Xenopus tropicalis: one gene and its partners. The protein of the gene in region 1 interacts with the protein of each later gene in a pairwise test. Links are inferred from orthologs where the notes say so. Each region holds a gene or a part of one and is shown in the gene's direction. Other genes may lie near its edges. The genes, in order: tnip2, stk11 and nfkb1.

Region 1 (3,517 bases):
CTCTGGGAAAGGACTGGGGCCGTGGGATAGCAGGTATAGTAGGGAGAGATGGTGCCTATAGTAGCAGTGGGGGGATAATAGCCTCTGGGAAAGGACTGGGGCCGTGGGATAGCAGGTATAGTAGGGAGAGATGGTGCCTATAGTAGCAGTGGGGGGATAATAGCCTCTGGGAAAGGACTGGGGCCGTGGGATAGCAGGTATAGTAGGGAGAGAGGTGCCTATAGTAGCAGTGGGGGGATAATAGCCTCTGGGAAAGGACTGGGGCCGTGGGATAGCAGGTATAGTAGGGAGAGATGGTGCCTATAGTAGCAGTGGGGGGATAATAGCCTCTGGGAAAGGACTGGGGCCGTGGGATAGCAGGTATAGTAGGGAGAGATGGTGCCTATAGTAGCAGTGGGGGGATAATAGCCTCTGGGAAGGGACTGGGGCTGTGGGATAGCAGGTATAGTAGGGAGAGATGGTGCCTATAGTAGCAGTGGGGGGATAATAGCCTCTGGGAAGGGACTGGGGCTGTGGGATAGCAGGTATAGTAGGGAGAGATGGTGCCTATAGTAGCAGTGGGGGGATAATAGCCTCTGGGAAGGGACTGGGGCTGTGGGATAGCAGGTATAGTAGGGAGAGATGGTGCCTATAGTAGCAGTGGGGGGATAATAGCCTCTGGGAAGGGACTGGGGCTGTGGGATAGCAGGTATAGTAGGGAGAGATGGTGCCTATAGTAGCAGTGGGGGGATAATAGCCTCTGGGAAGGGACTGGGGCTGTGGGATAGCAGGTATAGTAGGGAGAGAGGTGCCTATAGTAGCAGTGGGGGGATAATAGCCTCTGGGAAGGGACTGGGGCTGTGGGATAGCAGGTATAGTAGGGAGAGATGGTGCCTATAGTAGCAGTGGGGAGATAGTAGCCTCTGGGAAGGGACTGGGGCTGTGGGATAGCAGGTATAGTAGGGAGAGATGGTGCCTATAGTAGCAGTGGGGGGATAATAGCCTCTGGGAAGGGACTGGGGCTGTGGGATAGCAGGTATAGTAGGGAGAGATGGTGCCTATAGTAGCAGTGGGGGGATAATAGCCTCTGGGAAGGGACTGGGGCTGTGGGATAGCAGGTATAGTAGGGAGAGATGGTGCCTATAGTAGCAGTGGGGGGATAATAGCCTCTGGGAAGGGACTGGGGCTGTGGGATAGCAGGTATAGTAGGGAGAGATGGTGCCTATAGTAGCAGTGGAGGGATAATAGCCTCTGGGAAGGGACTGGGGCTGTGGGATAGCAGGTATAGTAGGGAGAGATGGTGCCTATAGTAGCAGTGGGGGGATAATAGCCTCTGGGAAGGGACTGGGGCTGTGGGATAGCAGGTATAGTAGGGAGAGATGGTACCTAGTGGGATGATAGCCTTTGGGCAGGGATCCCCAACCTTTCTTACTCGTGAGCCACAGTCGAATGTAAAAAGACTTGGGGAGCAACACAAGCACCATAAAAGTTCATGGAGGTGCCAAATAAGGGCTGTGATTGGCTATTAGGAAGCCTCTATGCACACTATCAGCTTACAGGGGCTTTATTTGGTAGTAAATCTTGTTTTTATTTAACCAAAGCTTGTTATGTTTATGTTTGAGCTTTTACCTACTATTGTTCCATTTCAGTGGTTTTTCCTAGTTGATTGGGTCATTGACTGTACTAATCAGAAGTTTACCCACTCTGCTAGAGAACTGCAAAAAAAACATAATTTCAGAACTACTGCAAAATGTTATATAATTATATAAGGCAGTAAACTAAGAATTACACTTGAGAATCCAAACCAGACAGTCTGTATTGTTCCAGGATAGAAACCCAAGACTTGCCCCCCGGTAGCTACGGCACGTGCAGCCTATTTTTTACCTCTAGGTGTTTTTGAATTGAAATGTGTTTTAAAGGCAGAACTCTTCTGTTTGCAGGAAATTACGAGGCTCCATCAGCAGCTGGAAGATAAGGATAAGCAGGTCCAGCAATACGCCAGCTGGCCTCAGCACGAGAAAGAACTGGAAATCTGCCGCCTTCAGCAGACGCTGGCCAATAAAGAGAGGGCTCAGGCCACCAGCGAAGTCCTGTGCCAGTCTTTGTCCGACGAAAGCCAACAACTCCGCCGCAAGCTGGCCGCCACCGCCGAAATGTGTCAGCACCTGGTCAAGTGTCTCGAAGATTCACAGAGAAATGTCCACCGGAACATGGAGGAGCTGGCACACACGGAAAGGCCCAGCAAGGTGAGAGAACAAATTCCAGTTAGGGAGGCATTGGGTCAAGAATTTGGTCCGACTTTGGTCACTGCCCCCAGTAGTGTTGCTCTGTGAGGCTACAATTTTATACTCATTGTTATTTTTTTCTTATCTTTCTATTTAACTCTTCTCCGTTCCATATTCCAGTTATGCATTAAAACCACTACCTGGTTGCTAGGTTAATTTGGACCCTAGCAACCAGAGAGCTATCAGTCTCTACATCATACTAAAAGTCTGTTTAAAGGTTAACATTGGGGGGAATATATTTACTATAATTCTCTTTGTCGACTGATTAAAGGGGTCTGTAAAAAATAATGCACTGAATCTACTATTTTTGGGATTCAACCGAACCCTGAATCCTTTGCGAAAGAGTCTGCCCAATACCAAATCCGAATTTGCAATGGAAACGAGAGAGTGAAAAATGTACAACTTCAATGTTTATCAGCCAAATTGGATTTGATTTGGCTGAATCCGAATCCTGCTTAAAAAGGCCAAATGTTGGCCAAATCCTGGATTTGCTGCATCCCTAGTAAAACCCACTTGTAATATTACATTTATTTCCCAAAAATGACTGTAGATAATCCCCTAGTTTCCCACAGTGTGTTTGCTTTACCGTACAAATGAAAAAGCACTTGTAAATCTGTGGTTTCCCATGAAACCTCACATTGGTGGCTTGGCACTTGTGCAGGATCCGCAGTAATAACCCAAACCACGGAAGGTTGGAGCAGAAAAGATGCCATGTTATAGAGAGTGCAGAATATCTAATGCCGTCCTATCACGAATGGCCTATAATCTATCTTTTGGTTGCAATGGTTACTTTGTCCCTTTGTCTCCGTTTTAATGCCGTGTATTTAATTAGCTTTGTCCTTCTAACGAGTTCTTCTTATTTCTTTATCATTTGCAGATCCCGAATCTAGACTGCAGCAGTGAGTCATCTCTCAGCAAACTTCAGGAAGAGAACCGTTTATTAAAACAGAAAGTTGTTCATGTAAGTCAATGCAAATATATTTCTGTTTCCTCTTTTATCTTTACTGTAATATCATCTTGAGCATCGCGCAGGGATCTTTCGACATCGATCTCTGTATTTTCCCCAGAATTGTGAAGACACTTTAAAGAGACATAGACCTTGTACTGAGCTGTGTTAAGTGCAGATAAAGTTTACAAGATTCCAGACCTGGAAATATAGAATTAGAAATATCTATTAATGGAGGAATAAATGGCGCTAATGGTGGAATGTTTTCATTTGCCCCATCCAGGTGGAAGATTTAAACGCAAAGTGG
Region 2 (3,661 bases), about 78 Mb from region 1:
TACTTTGGCATTTAGTTGGTATTTTCAGACTGTTTTCAAGATTGTAGTGGTATTGTAGCATATTTCTGCATGTTTTCTCAAGTTTTTATCCACTAGTTTTTGCCTTCCCTTGTGTTCTTGAGATGTCTAGGTGTGTGAATTGTGTACTACCTGAACCTTTTTAAAGGGGTTAATTAACTTCAAATTAGCCTTTGGTACAAGCCTCCAAGTCAGGACACTTTAAAAAATGAAAATAAAAAAAAGAATGGGATTGTCTGCAAATAATTTAAACTCTAGATTTAGTTGAAAATATTACAAAGAACACATAGCAATTGTAAGACTGAGAAATGTTATTGTTTTCTGAAAGATAGAAATGCTTATTTTGATGCCAGCAACAAGCAGGTTGTATAATGCTGGGTCTTTTAGAAGTAAAGATGGGGAGAGACACTCCACTCTATAAAACACTGCACAGGCAAATATTGCAAACATTTAATAATGTTTCTCAACATAAAATTGCAAAGAATTTGGGGAATTCAGTATCTACATACACCATCTATAGTACACAATATCATTAAAAGATTCAGAGATTCCAAAGAATTCTCTGTTGGCAAGGGATAAGGCAAATGCTATTGGATGGGCGTGAACCATGGGCCCTTAGGCATCCCTGCATTAAAAACTGGTATGACTCTGTAGTGCATGGACTGCATTACTGCATCAGTAATTTCTAAATGTTTTTATTTTCTTCTAAAATGAAAAGAAAAACAATATATTAACACGATCCAGAAACATCACCATTCCAGATGGACTGAGGCAAAGTGGAAAACTATCTTGTCTGATAAATCAAAATTTTAATTTTTTTTTTGGATATCATGGACACCATGTCCTCTGGCACAGTTCAAAAGGCAGCATCCGTGATATTATGGGGGATGAATTAGTCCACATGGCATAGGCAGCCTGCACATCTGGGAAGTACCATTAATGGTGAATGATATATACAGGTTTTGAAGCAAAATATGCTGCCATCCAGACAACATCTTTTTTAGGGAAAGGACTTGCTTATTTCAGCAATACAATGCCAAACCACATTCTGTACCTATTAAAAAGCATGGCATAATTAAATGAAAAATACAACAAAGGTGACCTGAACTGTTGAGCAGTTCCAGTATTTTAAAAAAATATTTTCCTGGCATTAAATTAAAATGAGCATATATATTTCAGGATTAAAAAGTTCTCTGTTTCAGCATTTGCTATGTTGTCTTTGTACTACTGAAAATCATTAGATTCTGGTTTTATTGACGTATTACACGGTGTCCCAACTTTTTTTTTTTTTTTTTTGGAAATCGGCTTGTATGATAAATTACGACAGTTTGAAACCTTTTAAAAAAAGGTTTATTTTGTGGAATTGTTACATAGTTACATAGGGTTGAAAAAAGACTAGAGTCCATCAAGTTCAACCCTTCCAAGTAAACCCAGCACACACAATCTATACACTCACATACATAAACTATATATACACAACTACTAATACTAACTGTAGATTTTACTATCACAATAGCCTTGGATGCTATGCTTGTTCAAGAACTCATCCAGGCCCCTCTTAAAGGCATTAACAGAGTCTGCCATTACAACATCACTAGAAAGGACATTCCACAACCTCACTGCCCTCACCGTGAAAAAACACCTACGCTGCTTCAAATGGAAGCTCTGTTTCTCTAATCTAAAGGGGTGGCCTCTGGTGCATTGATCGTTTTTATGGGAAAAAAGAACAACCCCTATCTGCCTATAATCCCCTCTAATGTTTTTGTACAGAGTAATCATGTCCCCTTACAAGCACCTCTTTTCCAGAGAAAACAACCCCAACCATGACAGTCTAACCTCATAGCTTAAATATTCCATCCCCTTTACCAGTTTAGTTGCACGTCTCTGCACTCTCTCCTTGCTCATTAATATCCTTCTTAAGGACTGGAGGCCAAAACTGCACTGCATACTCAAGGTGAGTCCTTACCAGGGACCTATAAAGATGCAAAGTTATGTTTTCATCCCTTGAGTCAATGCCCTTTTTGTACAAGACAGCACTTTATTCGCTTTAGTAGCCACAGAATGACACTGCCTGGAATTAGACAACTTGTTATCTACAAAAAGCCCTTCTCCATTAAAGATACCCCCAATACACTACCATTCAGTAGATAGTTCACGTTTATATTATTTCTACCAAAGTACATAACTTTGCACTTGTCAACATTGAACCTAATTTTCCAGTTTGCTGCCCAATTTTGTCAAATCGCTCTGCAAAGTGGCAGCATCCTGCATGGAACTTATAGTTTTGCACAGTTTTGTGTCATCAGCAAAAATAGAAACAGTACTGTCTATGCCCACCTCCAGGTCATTAATAAACAAGTTAAAAAGCAAAGGACCAAGGACTGACCCCAGCGGTACTCCACACAACAACAACACTGGTCCAATTAGAAAATGTTCCATTTACCACCACTCTTTGTAATCTATCCTTCAGCCAGTTCTCTATCCAATTACAAATATTATGTTCAAGGCCAATATTCCTCAATTTGATCATTAACCCTCTGTGAGGTACTGTATCAAACACAAAGTCCGAGTGGATGACATCAACTGCCATTCCAGCATCGAGGTTCCTGCTCACCTCCTCATAAAAGGCGATTAAATTAGTCTGGCAAGATCTGTTACACTTACGATTAACCTTTTTATTCAGCAGCTTTCCAGTTTGACATTTCAACCCTGATTGCCAGGGATGAATATACCTTAGCAATAAGGTAGTGGTTTGAATGCCAGACTGAAGATTGTGAACCTGAGTAGATATATAAGTAATACAAAGTAACAGCAACAATACAGTTAAAGGCTCACAGAGCAATCTTTTTGACTGTTCTGTAAAGTTGCTAAGAATATGTTATTCTAAAACATACTAAAAGTTACCTTAAAGTTGAACTAGCCTTTTTAACACAATGAACTCTTTTGATCCACAGTTATTTTTGCCAACTCATTGATGGTCTGGAGTACCTTCACAGTCAGGGAATTGTTCACAAAGACATTAAACCAGGGAATTTGCTGCTAACAACAGATGGGACACTCAAAATCTCAGACTTGGGGGTGGCAGAGGTATGTAGCTGTGGATTATTTATAAGAGATCTTAAACATTTGGCCATTTGACTTTTTTTTTTTTCCTTTTGCAGGCTTTGCACCCGTTTGCTGAAGGTGATACTTGTAGGACCAGCCAAGGATCTCCAGCTTTTCAGCCTCCAGAGATTGCCAATGGCCTGGATACCTTCTCAGGATTCAAAGTGGACATCTGGTCAGCAGGAGTAACGCTGTGAGTATCTACATTCACCACTGCACTTACTGTGGACGACAGCCATGTTGACACCTGATTTGTTAGAAAATACTATTTGCTTCAGCATGTAGCTATGGACTATTTTAATTAAAACAAAGCTGGTTAAGGGGCCAAACTGATCATTTTGAGATGCCATTTTGATAGAAGATTGTTCAATCCCATCAAATTTCTGTCTGTCTGTCTGGACTCAAAATCCTGTCTACTGAAGCATTACATTGGCACCAGTAGAAGGCCACCACAGAAATTACCATATTTTTGTGTAACTTTCAATTTCTTTATGCTCTAGTCACTTGGCCCATGGGTTGCATATGTTAATAAGTGTCT
Region 3 (2,921 bases), about 52 Mb from region 1:
AGGATTGGTCAGAACTCTTAAGGAGGTGCTGTACCTGTTGGCGGGCCAATAGCCATCTGTCCCATATTTTCCTGAATTTGTAAAGGCAACCTTTAGCCACAATGTCCCTATATTAATTCAACATTAGGTGATATCATATATAAATGGAAAGGCCAAACACTAAAGGCATTGTGATATTGTAGACAGTTATTTCTGATGCAAAAAACAGACTGCATATATATCAGAATGATTTTTCTGTTGTGGTATTTTAATTTATTACTTCCTCCTCCCAATATGTAGGTTCTTGAAATTCTGAATGGCAAGCCTTACAAGTCAGAAGTGGCTCCTGAAGACTCCTTGCCACAAGGTATTGGCACAGCACTCTATAGTAAATATACATAAATGGAGGGCACTCACTTCGCATACAAAAAAACAACAATATAGATGTTTGGTGCAAGAAACCCAAAAGCAGTACCCCCATACAGGGCACCAAAAACAGTCATTTTAAATAGGATGAGGGTTTGCACACAAGAAACACAAGCACAATGATAGTATTAAAAAATATAGTCCTTTATATAGTATACAAAAGATTTAACAGCAGTCAATTTTAATTGCAAGATTACAAAAGATAATACATAGATTTATAAGATAATACATACCCACAAAATGTGCCCCCCTTGAGAAAGGCTCTTTGCCGAAATGTTGGGGTATTTCTCATCTTTGGCAAGTGTATCCACTAACTTGTGTGTCTCCTTTTGCCTATGCGCATTTTGTGGTATGTATTATCTTATAAATCTATGTATTATTTTTTGTAATCTTGCAATTAAAATTGACTGCTGTTAAATCTTTTGTATACTATATAAAGGATTATATTTTTAATACTACCACTGTGCTTGTGTTTCTTGTGTGCAAACCCTCATCCTATTTAAAATTGGCACAGCACTCTGCCTGTCCTGAACATTCTCAGTATTTAAGGACCAGTAACACAAAAACAATGAAAGTGTTTGATAAGCATATCATTTAATTGTACTGTTGCCCTGAACTTGCGTTTGCTTCAGAAGTACTACTATAATTTATATAAATAAATGTAGCCCCTGAGCTCATCCAGTTACATTTCCAAAAGTTTGGACAAACAGGGAAATTATTTATATATCTATATATATGTATATAATCTGGACTTTAACACAATATAGTTTTTACGTACTTATGAAATAAATTGCCTATATAAAAAAAATGAATACAATTCGGTTCTTACCCATAAAAAGTTTTGACACCCTGTGTTTAATAATATGATCATCAATAAATCATAAATTGTTCATACAATAGGAACGTTAAGCTTCTATTTCTCTTAAATTATTTCTTTATTTTGAAGGTGACATGAAAAACCTTAGTGGAGAGGTAAAGCAGAGGCTGTACACCTTGTTAGAAAGCCGAGATTTGGACAAGAACTGGGTCACTTTAGCACAGAAGCTGGGCCTTGGAATGCTGAACAATGCTTTCAGATTAAGCCCCCACCCATCTAAAACATTACTGGACAACTTTGAGGTAAGCACTGTGCTTTAGTTCTGTATCCATTCTAAATTTAAACACTTGGAACTTTATTTGTCAATTCCAAATAAACATGGTTCATATGAGGGGTGTTGTCATGGCCTTTAATGCATACTTAAAGGGCATGTCAACGCCAAAAATAAATTTTTGCACAATAAAAAAAAATTATATATATAATCATAAGCAACTTTCCAATATGAATTTGTTAAATATTTTCAGTGCTTTAAAAGTTATTTGTAAATGTAGTTGCTATTGAAAGCAGCATTTGCTGAACTCCTGGTTGTTAGCTTTTAAACAATGTTCTCCTCCAGCAAGTCTGGTCTGTAAAATCTGCTGGCATTTGTTATATTGTTTCAAATGCCAGAGCCACCAGGGCAGAGAATAGAAAGGACAGGCAGACACTGCTTTTAATAGCAGCTATATATACAAATAACCATTACAAATTTTTGTTTTTTTTTATTAGGCAAAAACATTATATTCTGGATTGACATGTCCTTTAAACTCATTTAATGTCAGCAATGCAGGGAGTGTTTTTTCACTATATATTCACCTATATATATATATATATAGACATCTTTACTAGAGTTTGAAGCATTGTTGGAATGTTTTTAGACAGAGAGTGTTCTCCTGGCATCTATTATACAGCCGGGTGGTAAAATGCCATTTATCACTTCAGAAGACGCATTTTCACTTCTCCAGAGTCCAAAGACTGCTGAGGACACATCATTTTAGACAATGAATCTGTATACATTTGGCCACATAGCATATGTGTCCATAACTAAAACCAACCAAACTGCTATGCAAACAAAACCGACACTGAACATTTGAGGTCATTCCAATCATCAGCATTAATTTGCAGTATGTCTCCAGCCCACTATATATGGCAGTTAGCAAAGGGATTGCCCTTTTGTTAACAGTGTATAGAGTAAATACAAGACACTAGCCCTGTATTGTCAGGTGTCCTTAGAAATCCCTCAGTTCAGAAATGGAGATTGTTGGGAGAGTGAGGAACTGACCAGCAGCTGCCTGAGAAGATTTCTGTACCACATATTCCTATACCCAAAGGGGTTGGCAAGGGGAATATTTGTGAGTGCTTCAAGGGAACTCTCTGATATAGTGAAGGCCTCATTCTCAGTTGAAGGAGAGAACCACCAGTCCACACATTAGCTGTGTAGCTAAGTAATAAAGAAAGAAGTGTGGGGGCCGGCCCTCAATTCAGTTTAGGCTTATTCTCCTTAAAATTAACTTTTAGTTAAAGTACTAGCCTTGATGTTTGATTGGTTGCTATAGGTTACTGCACCTGGGCAAATTTAGTGCCTTTAATTACATAACCCCCATAGCGTCTATACATCTATTTTACAAATGTTGAAATGAAACATTTGGTTGTGCTTTGT

What was found.
Region 2: the proteins of tnip2 (region 1) and stk11 interact in binary tests that used the Homo sapiens proteins (3 or more experiments, as listed by UniProt). The link is inferred for Xenopus tropicalis from reciprocal best matches to the Homo sapiens genes TNIP2 and STK11.
Region 3: the proteins of tnip2 (region 1) and nfkb1 interact in binary tests that used the Homo sapiens proteins (3 or more experiments, as listed by UniProt). The link is inferred for Xenopus tropicalis from reciprocal best matches to the Homo sapiens genes TNIP2 and NFKB1.

Annotation. Positions count from the first base shown.
Region 1 is NC_030677.2:21,860,766-21,864,282, reverse strand, and holds part of tnip2 (TNFAIP3-interacting protein 2), read left to right. Parts: intron 1-1,919; coding exon 1,920-2,225; intron 2,226-3,141; coding exon 3,142-3,225; intron 3,226-3,493; coding exon 3,494-3,517. UniProt on the Homo sapiens protein: Inhibits NF-kappa-B activation by blocking the interaction of RIPK1 with its downstream effector NEMO/IKBKG.
Region 2 is NC_030677.2:100,082,252-100,085,912, reverse strand, and holds part of stk11 (serine/threonine-protein kinase STK11), read left to right. Parts: intron 1-2,972; coding exon 2,973-3,105; intron 3,106-3,179; coding exon 3,180-3,316; intron 3,317-3,661. UniProt on the Homo sapiens protein: Tumor suppressor serine/threonine-protein kinase that controls the activity of AMP-activated protein kinase (AMPK) family members, thereby playing a role in various processes such as cell metabolism, cell polarity, apoptosis and DNA damage response.
Region 3 is NC_030677.2:73,610,024-73,612,944, reverse strand, and holds part of nfkb1 (nuclear factor NF-kappa-B p105 subunit), read left to right. Parts: intron 1-279; coding exon 280-346; intron 347-1,351; coding exon 1,352-1,524; intron 1,525-2,921.